Linked DNA regions of Xenopus tropicalis. The protein of the gene in region 1 interacts with the protein of each later gene in a pairwise test. Links are inferred from orthologs where the notes say so. Each region holds a gene or a part of one and is shown in the gene's direction. Other genes may lie near its edges.

The links.
Region 2: the proteins of plaa (region 1) and ubxn1 interact in binary tests that used the Homo sapiens proteins (3 or more experiments, as listed by UniProt). The two-hybrid records come from large-scale screens. The link is inferred for Xenopus tropicalis from reciprocal best matches to the Homo sapiens genes PLAA and UBXN1.

The regions. Positions count from the first base shown.
Region 1 is NC_030677.2:122,240,418-122,243,985, reverse strand, and holds part of plaa (phospholipase A-2-activating protein), read left to right. Parts: intron 1-1,279; coding exon 1,280-1,437; intron 1,438-2,164; coding exon 2,165-2,381; intron 2,382-2,947; coding exon 2,948-3,010; intron 3,011-3,277; coding exon of another isoform or gene 3,278-3,349; intron 3,350-3,568. UniProt on the Homo sapiens protein: Plays a role in protein ubiquitination, sorting and degradation through its association with VCP. Involved in ubiquitin-mediated membrane proteins trafficking to late endosomes in an ESCRT-dependent manner, and hence plays a role in synaptic vesicle recycling.
Region 2 is NC_030680.2:37,007,031-37,011,351, forward strand, and holds the start of ubxn1 (UBX domain-containing protein 1), read left to right. Parts: upstream 1-1,518; 5' UTR 1,519-1,877; intron 1,878-2,372; 5' UTR 2,373-2,374; coding exon 2,375-2,433; intron 2,434-3,019; coding exon 3,020-3,073; intron 3,074-3,152; coding exon 3,153-3,259; intron 3,260-4,321.

The DNA.
Region 1 (3,568 bases):
AGATACAAGATAAAATATGCACATGCAAAAAGGCAATCAGTAGTTACTAGTGATTTTATGGTGTCATATCAATTGCATGTCTTTTAGCACTAATAATTTACACTTTCCTAAAAAGGGGACTCTGCTTTTCTAGCATCCTTAAATATTGTGCTGTCTAGCGTTAAAAAATGGCTAATAGTGTTATTGACAAGTTCCAGGATTTTATAGGTACATGTAAATATCAGTTCTGCCACTAACCTAGTGGCTCAGTACTAAAACATGGCATCATCCCAGCCTTACATTAAATACTTGTGCTGGCCACCCAATACCTTTTAAGTTACAAAGTGATGATGTTTAGCCTGGGGCACGGGACTAGGAACAGTGGTGGACAAAATGCTCTCCTGCTTGTTATCACTCCTGTAAAGTAAATAAAATCCCTGTAGTGGACTTACATGGCTGGCACAAGACAAGAGGTCCATGGCACCATAACCCATAACTCTTGAGCATTTTTGTGCAGAAGTTCTCCTGACACTGCTCTGTTTGCATTCAATAGAGTTTTACATTTACTGCAATCAGTAGTGGTGACAGGCGTACAAGCGTTTTGAGTGCTGCTTTTCTCCACCAGAGTGCAGTGGTGGTCAAAATACCTATGTGCCAAAGCCCATAGAGTTAAAGCCCTAAAAATTCTAAGCAACACAGTGAATATAAAGACTTATAAAGGGTAAATGTAGACCTGAAACATTGCTGTACTGGTCTGTGCCAATTATGTGAATAAAGGCTTTTATTATAAGAAGATTGAAGTATGGAGTGCTGTCCATAACTTGAGGATTACATACAAGGCAATGTTTTCTTGCAGTGTTACTCAACATTATTTTTAAGCTATAAATAATGGGTATAACAAACAATATAGTGGTAATTTATGAGCAATTAGTGCAGTATGCAAAATGCACTTTTAGATGCAATCACTACTTTTTTTTTTTTTTACCCATACATTTTTTCCCATAATTTCCATGTAAAAGCAGTCGGAAGGGGGCAATGCTTCTGACACCTTAGTAGCTGATTTGTTAAAATAAGCACTGCATCTGTTGACACAGGCTGCAGGGGGGAACCATGTAGATACAGGTTGTGCCTGCATCAGAAGGCACCCTGCACTTAAATTGGAACAGAAGGCATAACTGAATGCAAAGCAGTACGAAAGAGCTTGGAGTGTTTTTTCACACAAGTAAAAGAGCCCTTATGATTCAGCACCTAAGTGTTTTTGTTTTTCTTTTTAATTACTATTGCTTGTTTTACTTTTAAGGAACCAGGGATGGGCAGACCAGGCTAATCAAAGAAGATGGGAAGGTTGAAGCCTACCAGTGGAGCACTGGTGAAGGACGCTGGATGAAGATTGGAGATGTAGTGGGCTCATCTGGTGCAACACAGCAAACATCTGGAAAAGTCTTGTTTGAGGGCAAAGTATGTGAATGGTTAAGAATTTCCTTTCACAAAAGCCACAGTGGAGAATACAGATTTAGGGTGAATACACACAGAAAAACTATTAGCAGCTACTTTTTCATGGCTACTAAAGGCAAACAATACCCTGCCATAGACAATACTGAGAATTGCCTCTGCTAAAACACACGTAGAGACCGTTATCAGTAAATGATCAGCATTGTCTGTTTTAGTAGCCACAACTAGTAGCTTTGTGTGTCTTCACCCTTTGGGCCGTGGTAGACGGGGAGATTAGTCGCCCGTGATAAATCTCCCTTGTTGCGGGCGACTAATCTCCCCAATATGCCATCCCACTGGCTTGAATGTAAATCACCGGTGGAATGGCATATGCGGTGCCACGATTTCCTATATGCCATCCCACCGGCGATTTACATTCAACCACGGCCCTTAAGGTTTATAGCATTGTTGGTAAAAGATAATTATAAAGTGTCAGCAATAGATGTGTGTACACATCAAACATAAAGATTCATACAAATACTGACAGATACAAGAGGTAAAGTGGGGAAAACTAGGTAATGCCTACACTCTAAAAAGTCAGGTGAGTATAAGGAGACGTAAGGTGTCCTTTTTCTGTATTACACAGTTTACTGAAAACAAGCATATCTGCAGTACCCAAATTTGTATAAAACACTTTGGCTGATTCTGACAATATTTTGTCTACTTTTTAAATTTAGTTGTTTTTTGTTCACAGGAGTATGATTACGTGTTTACAATTGATGTGAATGAGAGTGGGCCCTCCTTCAAGTTACCATATAACCTGACAGAGGATCCTTGGCTTGTTGCATACAACTTTTTGCAGAAGAATGATCTGAATCCCATGTTCTTAGATCAGGTAGCCAAATTTATCATCGATAACACTGCTGGCCAGACACAGTCTACAAACTCAGGCTTTGCAGATCCGTTCACAGGTAATGGTCAGCTGAGTATAGCTTTTTTTTTTTGTATGTAGGCTTGCCTTATTAATAGTGAAGTTTATTCAGCTTTACATGCTTTGCCATAGACTAACATTGGGATTGCAGTGAGTAAAACATATTACTCATGACAATCTGCATAATCATTGGAAGTTGTAAGGGAGGCAATTTCCCGCATTTAAGCCAGCTAGTAATATGTTTTACTTGCAGCAATCCCATTACTTGCAGATTGTCATGAGTAATATGTTTTACTCACAGCAATCCCAATGTTAATCTATTTTCAGGGAGATTTGTAGCCAATGGTAGTGATCTTTTAACTACAAATCACCCTGTGTGTCATTGTCCCTAAAGTCTAAATCGCCTATCTGTATTGTCAAGTTAACAAGCTGATTAAAGCAGAGTTAAATCACTTGTGACAAGTAATAATGAAAGGCAGATTGTCCACACTTGAAAACATGACAAGCAGTGACAGAAATCAACAAAAATGACGCCCATTACCAGTACACATTTCAAAAATAAGATTCTCCAATGTTTTTTTTTTTTTTTTTTTACTCTTTCTCTAGGTAGTGGGCGTTACATTCCAGGAAGCTCTTCTACTAATAATATGGGAGCTGATCCATTTACAGGTACATCCAAACATTTAAAACATTATGAAAGTGTAGAAAACTGTCAACAATGTTTCAGCATTAGCAAAGAAATGAACTGATTAAAGCAAAAGTAACAGATCGAGACATCTGTTTTTTTCCACTTTTTGATCTCTGCAGTGTTTATTTTTATACTGTTTGGTGAGATACACTACTATTATGTGTTATGTGGGATGACTCCACTTTACAGGCTAAAACAACACAAATCAAGCCCTGCATTAACATATTATTGGTTTTGCAACATTGCAGGTGGAAATCGCTATGTACCTAGTTCATCATCGCACTCGGACTATTCCACAGCTGCAGCTGATCCATTTACAGGTGAAAAACAGAACTTAATGGTCTTTATAAAAAACAATAGAACCCAATAAACCTGATGGAAAAAAATACATATATATTTGTATTGTATTATCATTAGGCTTTTTCTTCAATCATTTTAAAGGAATTCTTCCATGTTTTTTTAAATTTTGGTTTTAAACCAACAAATCTATTTTTTAATGTTGTAATATTGATGTGTAGGCAGCACTTTTGAAGTTTATC
Region 2 (4,321 bases), on another chromosome or scaffold:
CAGCACTTCATGACACTCACAGTGAGAGTCCCCCAGCACTTCATAACACCCACAGTGAGAGTCCCCCAGCACTTCATAACACCCACAGTGAGAGTCCCCCAGCACTTCATAACACCCACAGTGAGAGTCCCCCCAGCACTTCATAACACCCACAGTGAGAGTCCCCCAGCACTTCATAACACCTACAGTGAGAGTCCCCCAGCACTTCATAACACCCACAGTGAGAGTCCCCCCAGCACTTCATAACACCCACAGTGAGAGTCCCCCAGCACTTCATAACACCCACAGTGAGAGTCCCCCAGCACTTCATAACACCCACAGTGAGAGTCCCCCCAGCACTTCATAACACCCACAGTGAGAGTCCCCCAGCACTTCATAACACCCACAGTGAGAGTCCCCCAGCACTTCATAACACCCACAGTGAGAGTCCCCCCAGCACTTCATAACACCCACAGTGAGAGTCCCCCCAGCAATAAATCACAGCCATAGTGAGAGAGTCCCCCCAGCACCTCATAACACCCACAGTGAGAGTCCCCCCAGCACTTCATGACACTCACAGTGAGAGTCCCCCAGCACTTCATGACACAGTGAGAGTCCCCCAGCACTTCATAACACCCACAGTGAGAGTCCCCCAGCACTTCATAACACTCACAGTGAGAGTCCCCCAGCACTTCATAACACCCACAGTGAGAGTCCCCCCAGCACTTCATAACACCCACAGTGAGAGTCCCACCAGCACTTCATAACACCCACAGTGAGAGTCCCCCAGCACTTCATGACACTCACAGTGAGAGTCCCCCAGCACTTCATAACACCCACAGTGAGAGTCCCCCAGCACTTCATGACACTCACAGTGAGAGTGCCCCAGCACTTCATGACACCCACAGTGAGAGTCCCCCAGCACTTCATGACACAGTGAGACCTGCATTTTATTACAGCCACAGTGAGAGTATCCACCAGTATTTCATGACAGACTCTGGGTTGCACTGTCATGTTACATTTCGGCTTCCAGCCTTTCTAACCTCCTAGTGTGAGACTGGATAAATGCATAGAGGAAAAATACCCTTATATCCTATTGTGGCTCCCTGTGCGCTCCCCTCTGTAAGCAGGAAGGAGGTGAGTTGGAAAGCTGAATACTATGTGCTGCCATACCCTTTAGTGTTTATGCCTCCTTCCTTCACCTTTAACCAAGTAAATTCTCCTTTGAGCACATTTATTGTCAGCATTCTATCAGCTCTGTGAGCCCTTCTTTATCCTGGACGTATCTCCTCCCTTATCTTTCTCTTGCCAGAGAATTTACAAGAAGGTCCGTGCTTGCTCAACAAGAGATTTCCATTTTCAAAGGTGGAGGGAGGAGCCATCAGCACTGAAGGGGATGATAGCATTGGACGGAAGATTAAGCATGGAGGTATGTGAGGAGCAGAGCATAGGAAAACTTAAACTGAAAGCAGAAATCTGAGGCGCCGCAATCTCGCGAGATGAGCCGGTGTGACGTCACGCCGGAAGAGCCGAATGCGGGAAAGATCAGGAGCTACGGGAGCAGTTCGGGCAATGTGGGGAATGTAAACAATACACTGGGACAGCCAGCTGCCTTATGTTAATCGGGCTGTCCCGTGAAAAGCTGCCAACTTGGGAGGTATGTTTCTAGTGCAGTATGGCAATGTATGATATTCGGCCACTGTGCAGGTTGGGAACAGACACAGAGGGGCGGGGCTGGGGAGGAGTTTCCTCCGCTACTGCAAAGTTCTGTCTGTCAGTACTATGACTACTTCCTGTGAAAGAATGAAGCGACCCCCTCCCCCCCATTCCTCATTTCAGCAAACACACTGAAGAGAAAGGATGTCTATGTAGCTCTGATCTAATTACATTTTTAGGAGGTAAAATGTTGTTGAAACGTTTTTTTTTCTTTTGCATCATATTACATATTGGAAGGCAGGAAGAATAAAATGTAATGAAAATTTACAAAAAAATGTATTACATAAAAAATGCCTTGTTAAAGTTCTAAAGTCCTATTACTAATCCTGTTTAGTAGTGCTGCAGTAGCTTATAGTGATTTTTTCCATTTGAACTGTTATTTATGATCATAAAGCCCTTAAGCAGTACCATGCAATCTATACATGTCTAGGCACTCACATTTAATAACAATCATACTGTCTGTAAATGTATCTTGAATGAAACCATTATAAACCCTGCTTTCATTATATGGACATATCAATGAATCATTCCATTAGTCTGCTATTTATCTATATAATAGGGTTGCCGGCTGGACAGTAGAATACAGACAAGGTGGCATTCCTAATATACATTATATTTCATTGATTTCTCTGTGTGGAGCTAAAAATGTATCCTTTCTTTTTGTATGTTTTTCTTAGAGATGGCTGAGTGTTCCACGCTGGAGAGTCTCATTGAGATGGGATTTTCACCCAGTAGAGCGTAATTATTTCACCCTTTAATCCTATGTTGTGTAAATCAGTCAGATTGTATATCATAATAACACTACAGTATTATAGTGGGCCTCATCACATTTTCAATGACCATGGATTGCATGTCTGCATTGTATTACAAATATAGGTATAGGATCTATTATCTGTAATGCTTGGACAGTGGAGTTTTCTAGATAAGGGATCTTTCTGTAATTTGGATCACCGAGCCTTAAAAATGCTGAAAAAAATGTAAACATTAAATAAACCAAGTAGGATTGTTTTGCCGCCAATATGGATTCATGCAGCTTAGTTACCATCAAGTATTAGATACTCTCATTATTGCAGAGAAAAAAGATTTTTTTTTTTTTTAACAATTAGAATTATTCAATTATTATTATACTTAAAGTTGGCCTTTCCAAATTTCAGAGCTCTCTGGATAATGGATATATGGATAAGGGATATAATAACCGTATTCCTTTAAGGTCAACTTAGCATTTCACATCAGGCGAGATGTTTGTAAACACTTAGCACATTTTTTGTAGCTTTGTTGTGTGCCTTTACCAATAGGTCATTTTATTTTGCACATGTTCTTACAGAGAGAAGGCATTGGCTGCTACTGGCAATCAGGGAATAGAACCAGCTATGGACTGGTAGGTACATTAATTTGTCAGTGTTTACAGTCTGCGGTTTTGCCAGTGTTGTCCATTCACAATTAATGTTTATCCTCAGGTTAGTAGAACATGAAGATGATCCTGATATTGATGAACCAAGTGTGGTTGTCCCTGAAGATAGTGATTCTGGTACAACAGATACACAAGGCATGGACACCTGTGAAGGTTAGGGGTTGATTTTTAGTAATCATATTCATCTTACAGTTACAAAGGTGTTCCATGACAGCCATCCCTGTATAACTCGTGGGCAAATTAAATGAAAAATAAACCAACAAAATCAAAACACAAATCATCAATTTGTTGCAGTGGACACAATCAAATAATTTAGATGCCTATTGCATGTCGGTGCAGAAGCCATTGCAGTCTGCAGCATGCTTATCCATATATGGGATGTTGGATGTGAAACATATGAATTAAATATACATACAAGTGTAAAATTAAGCATAGCAAATCTTTGGCACATAGTTAAAGATACTTTAATTTGTAACTCTGCAGTAGGTGAATTATTTAACTAATGTCTAACCCTCTTAGTAAAATGCACTACATTTGCCAAGGTTCTGTAACCCATAGCAACCAATAAGGTGTTCTTTTAAACAGGTGATCAGTAAATGCTATCTGCAGTTGATTGCTATTGGGTACTGCACTTTAACATAATTAGTGTCTTTTAATACATAACCCTATCAGTTTTTATTACATCACCCGTGATAGTAGGTTACATTTAAATCAAAAGGTCGCCTAGTGTTGTCATCCAGAATTACAGAGTAACACTAATGCCTACTGTTGGATTTAATTAACTAGTAAAGTAATAAATATTGTTTAATTTAAGGGGTGCCTGTCCTTATATGTGTATTCTCTTTATATAACCTTACACTTTATGCTCTCCTTCACGAGTAGTCTGGATTCTCTGTCATATCTAATTGCATTAGGCCTGGTTTACAAATCATAACAAAGCAGTTTGACCTCCGTGGTCTGAGATCCTATATGAAACTCATTGGTTTACATCATTGCAGGAATTTGAGCTCTAAACAGAAATAATTAGAAGTTTAATTGAGATAAGAAATGAAGATGAGAAATCACTTTTTTTAAAAAATATGTATGTACCCTTTAAAGACATTAACCAGAGGGATTCTGGGTTCCCTTCTTTCTGAAACCCTCTGTTTTCTTCTCCTGTATTGCTTTTAAATACATAGTTTTATAAAAACTAATGGTTTGACTTTAAAAATTGAT